Caenorhabditis elegans: one gene and its partner. The protein of the gene in region 1 purifies or fractionates together with the protein of each later gene. This does not show direct contact. Each region holds a gene or a part of one and is shown on either strand. Other genes may lie near its edges. The genes, in order: F17B5.1 and disl-2.

Evidence for each region.
Region 2: the proteins of F17B5.1 (region 1) and disl-2 fractionate together in Caenorhabditis elegans (co-fractionation; one large-scale study listed by BioGRID). This does not show direct contact.

The regions. Positions count from the first base shown.
Region 1 is NC_003279.8:13,183,002-13,188,933, reverse strand, and holds F17B5.1 (protein-disulfide reductase), read right to left. Parts: upstream 4,083-5,932; 5' UTR 4,005-4,082; coding exon 3,951-4,004; intron 3,821-3,950; coding exon 3,657-3,820; intron 3,588-3,656; coding exon 3,173-3,587; intron 3,121-3,172; coding exon 2,938-3,120; intron 2,890-2,937; coding exon 2,687-2,889; exon of another isoform or gene 2,447-2,686; coding exon 2,323-2,446; intron 2,274-2,322; coding exon 2,071-2,273; intron 1,905-2,070; coding exon 917-1,904; 3' UTR 742-916; downstream 1-741. Other genes in the region: rgba-1 (Defensin-like protein), read left to right, coding at 5,162-5,482.
Region 2 is NC_003281.10:5,440,991-5,447,017, reverse strand, and holds disl-2 (DIS3-like exonuclease 2), read right to left. Parts: upstream 3,852-6,027; coding exon 3,748-3,851; intron 3,701-3,747; coding exon 3,391-3,700; intron 3,139-3,390; coding exon 1,930-3,138; intron 1,744-1,929; coding exon 1,264-1,743; intron 1,219-1,263; coding exon 1,030-1,218; intron 980-1,029; coding exon 725-979; 3' UTR 512-724; downstream 1-511. Other genes in the region: skpt-1 (F-box domain-containing protein), read left to right, coding at 1-136, 187-382; T24G10.2 (DM2 domain-containing protein), read left to right, coding at 4,289-4,333, 4,378-4,461, 4,512-5,270, 5,714-5,869. UniProt on the Caenorhabditis elegans protein: 3'-5'-exoribonuclease that specifically recognizes RNAs polyuridylated at their 3' end and mediates their degradation.

The DNA of each region.
Region 1 (5,932 bases):
TTATAGAAACATACCTCTCAGAGAAGGCCTCCAGCCTGCTCTGCTGGGAGTAGGGATAGAAAAGGCCTAAAGTTTCAAAGAGTAAGAAGGCGGCCCTAATCCTTGATTTTTGGGTTTGACTGAAAACCAATAGCATTGCAGGCCTCCAGCCTGTCCTGCTGGAAGTCAGGTTAAAAGTAGCCAACATGTTCAAAAAGTGCGGCCCTCAATTAGATTTGGGAAAAAGTAAAAATCTCGAAAAGTCTTCAAAATTGAGTTTTCCTCACGTTATTAAAAATAAGAAATGAAAATTATCGAATTCATCACCAAAAATAGAGAAAGAGAGAGAGTGGTAGAAAAGTTTTTCACGTTTAATTAATCTTTTTGATTTTGCAAAAATTGAATGATGGTCTACATTTTGGAAAGTGGGCCAATTTTTTTCAAAATAGTTTCAAAAAATTGGAAATACGAAGTTCTCTCTTGCGCACAAATTGGAACCAAATGTCAGAAAAACTGAAGATTTGGGGCTGAAAAAACATGAAATTCGTCAGTACAAAGAATACATCCATTTCGACCATACTCCAGAATTCCGCTCAAATCAGTGTTTTAGCCTTCCCAAAAGCGCCCCCCCCACAATGATGACGATGGAAGGCGCTATTTTTGTAAGCTATTGAAACAAATTGCTCAAAAAACCGCCAATCCTAAGCCAAGATATAAGCTCTCAAAGTGCAGTCACATTTCTCGGGACACCCCATGTCGACAACGTGCCCTTATTTTTTATTTCTGTCAAGAATGCAATTTCAGGATTTAATATAGGAAGAGGCAGATTAGTAAAACTGATCTAATACTTGCGAAGATTTTCTACACAAAGAGCATTTAAAATGAAAAAAAAAATTAAATAAAAGTGAACCAGAAACATAAAAATCCTTTTCGCACTTCAGTTCAACATTGCTTTCCAATGGTTGACCAATGCTTTCGGATCGTTGATCCATTGAGAAACTAGATTTCGTCCATCATCAGTAATAACTGTTCCATCGGGTTTCATTATTATTAAGGCAGGAATATGATTTTTGGTATTTCGGTGCTTCATTGAATTGCACAAATTGAGTGGCAAATGGAACCAATCGCCATGGAAATTTTGCAAGTAGAAGTTCATTTCTTGTGTATTATTGTCGCTCGAAACGAATAGTATTTCGAAGTTATCCTCTACTTGACTATAGAATTGTGCAAGAACCGGAGTGAAATCGCGAGATGGCGGACACCAATGAGCAGAGAAATACAGTCCAACCACTTTTCCATCGAGCACTCGCTCGTTATATGTTTGAGATGGATGTTGGTGCCTGATAAATGTGAAATTTTGGAGGAATGTGCATTTATTCGCCTGCTTTTTTCTTTCTTTTTCCTGTTTTTGCCTAGCTTTCTCTTCTGCGATTTTTCTTTTCTTTTCCTCTTCCAGAGCTTTTTTTTTCTTCTCTTCTTCAGCTTTCCGTTTTATTTCCAGTTCTTCCTTCTTCTTCCTTTCCTCTTCCAACTCTTTCTTGCGTTTTTCTTCTTCATAAATTTTCAATTCTTCCTCCGCTTTTAACCTTGCTTCTTCCTCTTCCTGTTTTTTCCTAGCTTCCTCTTCCAAAATCTTTCTTTGTTTTTCTTCTTCTTCCTTGATTCTTGCTTCTTCCTCCTCTCTCTGCTTCAACTCCAGTTTCTCCTGTTTCTTCTTGGATTCCTCTATCGATACTTCTTCAATTCTTTTCTCCAATTTCAATGTTTCCTCAAGGTCAATTCGAACGTTTTGTTCAAGCTCATAGGTTTTCTCAGAGTGCTCAATTACTGTAACTGTACTATGAGAGTGTTCAGACGAGAACTCTGAGATTGAAGAACGCAAAGAAAGCGACTTTATCCATTTGGAAACTCGTTCTTGTTCTGGTCTGAAAAATGAAATTTTTTTAATCATAAGGCTACGTTGAAGTTGAATAGTACAACAACCAAAGCTATAACCTCATCTTATTGAGGAAGTTAGCGTTATGTGAACATACAACGGAGTTAACATTTTCCTCTGTTACTGTAAAAAAGGAAAAATTTTTGAAAACCAACCTGTCAAGAATCTGAAGCTTCAATTCAAAAATTTTGAACATATTGTCGAACTTTCCAGAAAAGCACCCGAATTGTTGCTCGATACTTTCAAGGTGCTGAATTATAAGTGTCAAGTGGATTGACTGAAACTCTGTGTGCTCCAAAATGCAAATGATGAACTGAGAAATTCTTTGTTCAATTATCTCTCTATACGTCCACTTATCCTATAACTTATTCATCAAAAATTGTCCTGATAATTACTTTCAAACTCACGATTTTTATTTTCAAGTACAATAAAATCAGAATATTCAGAGTGTCCATGCATTGGTCGATGTGTTGTGTTTGGAGAAGAGACAAATGCTCATTTCTCATGAAAACTAGCATCTTTGCTTCATAGCTACAAAAAAAGGTTCATCAGTTTAAAATCTAGAAGTCCGCCGATAGTTTTTTAGAAATGTTTCAAACATTGAGCAGAAGTTGGACAGACATCCGATTTTCTCCTACTGCTCATAGTCTCACCAACGTCTTCCAAAATCCTGACAAAGTTTGAAACGGCGTTTGGCCGAAAAGTGCGTTCCAAGTGTCGAAGGAAATGTGAGAGTCCTGGATAGCAATCAAAAAGATTTTAATAACAAACCTGTCAAACATCTGAGCTTTCGCTTCAAAATGTGTGAACATAATGTCACACATTTCCGTGAAATTCCCAAATCGTTGTTCAATACTTCCGAGGAGTTCAGTTATCATGGTCAAGTGGCTTGACTCAAACTCTTTGTGCTCCAAAATGAAAACGATTACCTGGCAAATTCTGAACTCAAAGTTTTCCCTGCACTCCAAATCATCCTATAATTTCTTAGTCAACAATTGCCACGAGCATTCTTTCAAACTCACAATACTTATTTTCATGTAGAAAATCATCAAAATTCTCAAACTAACGATGGATTGTTCAATTGACTCATTCTCCCAATTCTCCCAATACAGAAGTACATCCGTCTTTGTTTCATCTCTACCAATTGAAAGGTGTATAAGTGCCAGCAAATGATATTTTTCTGAGTTTTCGTATTCCCAAGTTGCCTGTAATGAGCAAATCACTGTAGGCAAGAATACTAAATCTCTAGCAACCTACCATCCCAATAATAATCCCAAATGCTACTGCATAATGTCGTTGATCAAGATTTTCTAGAAGTTTCATGATCTCAGATGTCCAAAATGTAACTTCCATTTTCTTTTCCAATCCGATTAACTTCTCGCATATCAATTTGATCTTCTGTAGATCAATGGAATTATCGACCGAACACCTCCAAGAAGCATTCTTCACTTTGTAGCAAAATTTGTCATTGGGAGAAGTTAGAATTCGAATTTCCTCTAGTCCAGAATTCAAAAATCCCACAGCTTTCTGTTGTCTCCCTTTGAAACTTGCGATCTTCTTTCTAAGACCTTCATATTTGTTTTTTGAAGATTTCAATTCCAAATGTATTTCTTTGGAATTCGACTCATCGTCTTGATTATCACTTAATTCATCTATCAGTGACGCAATATTCCTGTAAACATAACAATTATAATTAATTACTATTTTCTTATTTAGAAAAAAAAAATAGAGAATAACTAACTTCTCCTGAAACTCAATATCTCTTTCCACAAGAAATTGTTGAACTTCTATGGAATCCAATAGTTTTTTCTTTGCAAATTCAACAAGTTCTTCTTGAAATCCGGGGATTACAGAAAATTGTTCAAGTTGATCAACATTATTGTCTTGTTCTAGATGATATTCATTCTGAAAAAAAGGGTTTTTAACCAGGTAGGAATTGAGATTACCCTCAGGCTTTGAAATGATAAAACCAAATTTCAATCGGAAAATTTTTCAATTAAAATATTTACTACATAGTAGGATTCCAATAACTAACCTCAGCCACAAGTTCGAGAATTCTCCAAGGGTTTCCATCAATCGACTCTGTCATTTTGCAGCCCAAACTTCAATAAAAATGAATGTTCGAACTACTTGGTCTTCTCTATCGTCCTTAAAAACGGAGTTTATCACCAAAACCGAATTATCGTAAACAACTTATACTCAACATTCGCCAACACTGAACAAATAAGTGAAAACTATGAAAAAGTTTATCAGTAATTTTGTGTGATTTGTTCTGAAATAGATTCGTAAAAGTACATCTCTAAATTCAAATTAATGGAATTTTCTGAATGTACTTTTGTTTAATTTGATCACGTTCTTTAGGAAATGGAAAATAAAATCATATGGCATACAATACAAGGTTATGAAATGTTAATTGTGATGCTCGCTCGTGCTCTAGTTGTTGACTTTCAATATCAATTTCTAAGTTTAGTATCCCATTTCAGATTGTTTCAAAATTTGCCTAGTCCCTCGAATTAAAACATGCGTCGGTGGACTAAACTACATATATTTGTTCGAACTTTTGAACCTTCCCAATCATTGAGAGCACAACAATTGTCATATTTTTTTCAACTAATAATTGTCAACAACTTTTTGAACAGCTGCCCCTGCACGGCGATCAAATGTGTCACTTTGCCTTATTTCTAGCCAGAAACATGTGCAAAAATGCGCTCTCTGTGCTTGACCGTGACAAGTTTCCTGTTGATTTAACATTACAATTTTGAGTTTTGTTATTCTCAATCACCAATCCACAGATTTGTCTGCCTACTGTATGCCCACCCACTTTGTTTAAAAGCTGAATCCGTGTTGAAGTTTTATCTGCTACTTCCACCATAGTGAAGGACTCGTTCAATCTAACCGGCCTCTTGATAGTAAGTAAAAAATTTTCCTTTATTTTATTCTGTGTTACTATTATATACTTGGAATGGTTCCTGAAACCGTTTTCATGATAAAATTTATAAAAAAAATTCAAGAAAACTTCATGGAGGTTCAAACATTTGTTTAAAACATCTAGATTCAGCAAAAACCTGAAAGTTTACCAATTCTGCTGAACTATAGCTTTTCTATTCTTTTCTGTTAGTCTAAACAGAAGAAAACCAATGAAAAAACAAAAGCAATCTCTTTATGACACTGGGTTTCTCGGTGCCATTTCGAGTTTATTAGAATATACTCAGAAATTTTGTACGAACTTCAGAACAAAGTTGGAAAATGTTTGGGCACTCGACTTCCTTCTGTCTTTTGGCTTTATTTGTGCTCTCGATGACAGTAAATTGTAAAGATCCTTGGTATGACTGGAAGGTAGGCAAAGGCTTGAATGGACGATCATCGTTTATGGGATACCAATTTGACTCGCCACTCGAACGCAACGCTATTAAGGGATATCGATATCTTAGTACTCGTGGTAGAGTCACAGATTGCAATAGCAACTGTAGATACTATTATAACGCGAACTCAGGATATTGTGCTCCTTCACGATCCAATGATTGCTCTACCTACTGCGGTTGTGGTTTTGTCTGTAGATGTAGATAGATAGATAATCTTGTTTTAAAGGTGGAGTAGCTTGAATTTGCGAATACTAAAAATAGTAATTCACTCTACTCCGCCTTCAATTTAGAGAATATGACAAATGTTTGTGTTTTTTTCCTCTGAATTCGCTATTTCTCTACACTTTCCACTAGTTTCTTAGAGTAAACCCCAACTTTTTTCAAACAACCTGTGCAATGCAAAAAAGAGGTTTTTACCGATTATTTGTCATATTCATTTGCTTCTTTACAATCTCTTCAATTGTTAATACTATGACATCATTAATAAAACTATACACCTTGATGTTAAACAATGCTTTCAGAATGAAAAACCATCAAATTAGTCGAATCAGACTAAAACAAAAAAATTATGCCACAGTGCGGACTCGAACTCTGGTCGTTAGACTGGTGGCCGGCCAAAAACTCACTGAGCCATTCGGACATTTTTCCTTGAAAA
Region 2 (6,027 bases), on another chromosome or scaffold:
ACTACGTCACCGACCTCGACTTGTCGGATAACGTCGAGATTAGTGATCCAGGCCTCGCAGTGATTCTGAACAAATTCCCGAGACTTACGACAATTTCTCTCAATCGATGCTACGGATTGGACCCTAATATGGTTGTGTGAGTTTATTTGAAAATTAGTTTAATTTATTTAAACAAAACATTTCCAGACACTTCAACAGTAAGCCTTCGCTCGTTTATCTCAACGTTCATGGCTGCGTCTCTGACACGAACATGGAGCTTTTCCTCGAAATGTGCTCCAATCTGAAGGTCAACCGTCAGTACTTCAACTTCACCGCCAAACCGGTCAGCTACCAATGCGAGTCGAATATGATCTGGGGACAGACAATGATGGATATCGAATAGATAACAATACATATTATTTTAACTGCACTTCTCAATTGTCCTATATTTCTCTAGTTTCTAATTTTCTTAACGAGTTACGTGACAGTTAACACCCAAAACTTGTCAAATAAAAGTTTCGCTAGTAATATTGAATAATGCATTTTCATTCGACACCAAAAGTAACCGGGACGAGGAATGGACACGCGTTTTAAAAAATACAACGGGAAAATGGAATTTAAAGAAAAAAAGGATAAAGGAGAAAAAAAAGGATAGAAAAAGGGAAAAAAAGGATAGAAAAAGGGGAAAAAAGGATTGAAAAAGGAAAAAAAGCTTTTGCTGGAGGAGATCACTGAATCCGAATGACTACTGAAGAATTGTTGAGCCCGTTTCTTTCATGTCCTTGAGAGTCGACTTGAGAATATTACGTTGCTCGAGACTCGGACGAACAATTGTCGCGCTGACTTCAATGCTTTTGTACGGCACGAGAATCACGTAAACCACGTTGCACATTTGAATTGAGCTCGAAAACTCTTCACGGTTTCCGGATTCCGCATTCGGATCTGCTGGCCAGTAAATGGTAAGCTTCTCGGTCGATTTGTTGAAGTCTCGCTTCATTTTCTGAAATTATTCGGATTTTTTTTTCGTCATTGTTTGAAATCTATACTCACATCCACATAAACTCTCTTCACAACTCCATACTCAACGATGAGGACGTCGAATGAGAGATCCATTACACCAAGAACAACAGCTTGGCACTTCATCGGACCGGTTTGATGGATGAAAACTCCAAAATAGAGCATCGCAGACTCATCCGAAGCTTCCTTCGATGCGAGCTTTGTGTCATTGCAGCGGGTGCACTGAAAATTTAAATGCAAAAATTTCTTGAGTGTTTGAAAACTTACAATCTCCTGTATCTCTTCAGGAACTCTTTCAGATCTTTCATTATAACCAAGAGCAGCAGCAAGTTGTCGATGAACAATCACATCTGGATACCGACGAATTGGCGATGTGAAATGTGTATAATGATCCACGTTGAGAGCAAAATGATGATAAAATGAAAGAGGCATCTCGAAAGTGCAAAAATATTTCGCCTGTTGCATTGGCTTAATTGTCAATGAGGAAATTACTTGTCGAATGCACATATCCAAACGGGATTTTCCTTGATACTTGCGAAGTGACGTGGAAAGTAATCCAGACGTTCTTCCGTCCAATGGAAATCCAATTCTTGCACATTGCTCAGCCACGTCCTTTATCATTTTCTCTTTTGGTGGCGGGTGATTACGAAGAAGGGCGTGTTCTGGGAAATTTTCAGCGATCTTTTTAGCCACTTCCATATTGGCGAGCAGCATGAACTCTTCTACGAGTTTATTCGAATCTTTGATCTGAAATTTTAACATTTGTATTTTATAAAATTGGCAATTCTTTTTAAATTTCCGATTTTTGAAAATCTAAATTTATGGATTACTTTTTTGTTGCTAGAACCGAAAAAATGTGACCAAAAAATTGCTGTTTGAAAACAAAAATTAATATAAAAACACATTTTCTTTAACAAAAAACTGTTTATTAACCTCGTATATAGAAACTCCTTGTGGCTTCTTATCCTCATCCAATGCAAATTTCAATCTGGGAAGCTCGATCCGCAATGCTCCACTATCTTCACGCTTTTGTCGAAGAACTTGCGCGATTCTGTGCAACATCAGAGTCTTTTCCTTGATCTCAAAAGGCGTATTTCCATCTGAAATATCGGGAAGCTCGTCGCATGTGAAGTCCTTCTCCGGGTTCTCGATGAAATCCTGTGCATGTTCGTAGGCAAGTTTAACACGGGATCTGATAACAGATCTTCCAAACCAAACATCATACAGCTCGGCTTCGTAGCTCATTTTGAATACAGTTGAGAAGGAGAGGCGATCGACTCCAGGGTTCAAAGAGCACAGCTGCTCACAGAGGATTCTTGGAAGCATTGGAATTACAGTTTGTGATAGATAAGTACTATTTCCACGTTCGGATGCCCATTTGTCAAGCTCTGTACCTTCTTTCAGGAAGAATGTAACATCAGCAATATGAACTCCAATCTCAAGGCCTGGAGTTCCTTTTCCGTCACAATCATCGATGTGTTTCGCGTGAAGAGCATCGTCGAGATCTCTAGCGGTTTTTGGATCGATTGTAAAAACGATGTCACTTCGGAAATCTCTTCGGTACTCGAACTCGGCATCAGGGACCTTCCAGTTTTCGGCTGTAGTGATTGGAAGTGATTCGAGGCATTCGTCGCTGAACTCTCTGTGATCGATTTGGTGCTCGTAGACGATTCTTTCAGTTTCTGTATCGATTTCTCCGGACATGCCAAGAAGCTTCACGAGTCTTCCATCGGCATAAACAGATTCAGCGCGCCAATCAGTGATCTTAGCTGTGTAAAGGAATCTCTCAAAGTCCTTTGGGCGTGAGAAGAACTCCTTATCCACATCGGATTTTGGAATGAGAATTCGAGGGACACGAGAATCTGTAGCAACGAACAACACGTTGGGATTCGCGCTGTTTGGCATTAGCTGGAGCTTGCCGGCGGCTACACGGAAATGTTTCTTCTCAAGGATATGAACAATGGCTCCGATGGTGATGAGACAAGAATCGGGAACTTCGTCACTTGTAACTCCATTGTCTTGAATTTCGTTGCGCAGACATCGTTTTTCTGTTTTATTTGGGCTATTGTTGTCCGTTTTGCCGCTATTTCGATCTCCTTTCTTGTGCTCCGCCCACCATTTCACATATTCCACATAGTTTACCTGGAAAAATAGTTTTTTCCTCGAAGAATTCAGATTTTGTGAACATAATTTGCATATAACTATTCGAAATTAGCAGGCTTTAATGGATTTTAGATGTTTTCTTTTTTCTCATTTTTAAATTCCTAGAATTAAAAATAAATTTATGTAATCTACAGGAAGAATATCCACAAAGCTCTAAAAGATTCGTGGAAAAATAGGTATTATTTGGATGAAATCAGTTCTAGTTGTTTTTTTCAAATGATTAAACCGTACAAGCCAATCCTCTTTTGGCTTGATCTTTACAGCCACCACATCTCCTTGCATCGCACGATTCCGATCTTGGCCCAAAACAAGAACATCTGGATGATTTGTGCCTTTTGGATGATCCAAAAAACATTCTTGATAGTTTTTTGGATTTATCCGCAAGACACCTTTGAACATTGAACCGTCTTCGATTCCGGCATCTGTTTCCTCCTTTGATATGTATTCGGTGAAGATTTTCCGCGGATTGAAGTTGTTTTGCAAATTATTTGCATTTTGCGGCTTCACATATGGTTTTGCTTTTGTTGGAGTGGTTTTGACTCTGAAAAACATAAGATTAGTAGAGAAATTTGTGAAATTATGACTTACGTAGCGGCAGCACCAAACTTTCCGCCTGTAGCTGTCTGAGTGAGGCCCTGCGGCTTCAACGAACCGGGCTCTGTCACAATAACGGGACTTTCAACTGCTGACATCTAGAATAAATGGTAATTTGGGGGAAATTATGAGAAGAAACGAGAGGAAAGAGGAAAGTGTAATTTCGCAACAAAAATTTACAAAAAGTACAATCAAAACAACATGGAAATATATGGAAAGGATACGGTATGCAAGTCCGCAAACACCGTGCACATAACAATTTTCACCGTAGTCGTCTCTTTTATTTTCTTGTCAACGCGGTTTCGGGAGGCGGGCCTTTTAAAATTTCACGAAGAATTCGAATTGTTTCCCGATTTTTTTAAAAGATTTTCAAGTTATAGTTGAATAAATACATGTTCAACTACCATCTGAACCTATTCATCATACAACATTACCCCATAAACCGTGTCCGCCAATTAAAATTCAATTAGACGATAAGTTATTGATTTTTTTGGTTTTTTCAGATCGCTGTCGGGTAAAATCAAGCCAGGTCAAAATGACAACTGAGGAGCCTATTTCTTCGTTCCCCATGGACAAGGAGGTAATCTATTGCACAATTTTAAAGAAAATCATGTAAATTTTCAGGCTGCTGAGGAGGAAATCGCATTGTTGGTTCGCAAGCCAGGTTTCGACGAATTAACTCCATCGGATATCGTAAGGCATATGAATGTGAGTTCAAAGCGTGGGAATCCGCAACTATTTATCAAAAAACTTTACAGAATCGTTTTAATATCAACTTTGACTCTTATAAATCGCAGCTTAAGAAGATGGTTATCGAAGAAATTAAGAAAAGAAATGATGAAAATGGCTCAGATAGTTCAGATGATGGTGGAACTGACAGTGATAGTGATCATGAAGAAGGGGAGGAAAAGAAGGAGAAAACAGAAAAAGTCAAGAAAGAAGAGCTGCCAGTAAAAGCTAAAAAAGAGGTGAAAGAGGATTCCGACTCGGATAGCGGTGTTGAAGATGCTGTTATGGACGGGAAGAAGAGAGGAAAGAAAACTACTACAAGGATTCCACCAGATATGGCATCAAGCATCAAATCTACAAGAAGAGCTGCTGCTTCGGACGCTCTGAAACAGATCAGAAATACCTCGGAAGGAGGTAGATTTGCGAATAATAAGAAGAAGAAGGTGAAGGATCCAAATGCAGATATGTCTGGAGTCTTTGGACCAATGACAAAGCTCTGTTATATCAGCACAGAGCTTCAACAAGTCACCAAAGATCAGTGGATGAAGCGTTGCGATGTGGTGAAGGCTCTCTGGGATTATATTAAGGAAAATAATCTGAAGGATCCAAAAAACGGACAATACATTATCTGTGATAGCACACTTGAGTCGATCTTCAAGAAGAATCGTCTGAAGGGATTCGGAATGGTAAAATTCTTGACAAGACACATCATTGGAACCAGTGATATGGCACCGGAAATGAGAGAAGAGGCTGAAGCCGAAATGGATAAGCGTAGAAAAGAGTGGAAGGTGAGGACAATATTTGAGCAAAAATCGCCTGAAAATTTGAATTTCTTCAGAGTAACAACGGAAAACCAATTTAAAATTTTGATTGCAGCTGATTTTTCTAAATTAGATGTGATATAATCTTCTAAAAAAGATTAAATTTTGTTTAAAAACTATAAAAAAATTAGAATTCGAGGTTTTTAGACGATAGTATCACAATTCGAAGACATTTCCTTTTCGTTAAAATAAATTCAGAAAAAACACAGCAGAATCTCCCTGATAAAATTGTATAAACTTATTGGAAAAAAATGCCGAAAATGACGGAAAATTCGATAAAATAACGTTTTCTAGATTTTTTAATTTTAAAATTACACATAAAAAGGAGAAAATTGGTATTTTTCCAAATTTTGATAATTTTTAAAAGATGTTTTATAAATATTCAATTCTAAAAAAATCAAAAATTTCAGGAAAGACAAGCAAAAAAGCGTGAAGCCGACCTGGACGCCAACGGAGTTGCAGATGATGAGCCAGAGCCCAAAAAACCAAAAAAGGAGGAGGTGGAAGATGATGAAGATGAGAAAAAGGCCGGTAGCAGCTCTTCAGATGATGAAGATAGCGATTAATTTATCGTTAATTTCCTCATTTTTGTTATAATTATCTCCTACACTCAGCTATACACACAAAATCTCCCCCATTCCACGTTTTTTCTCCGCATTTTTCGGCAATAAACTGCCGAAATTCCAGGGCCCAATTTCAAATTCAAATTTTAAATGCAAAAATG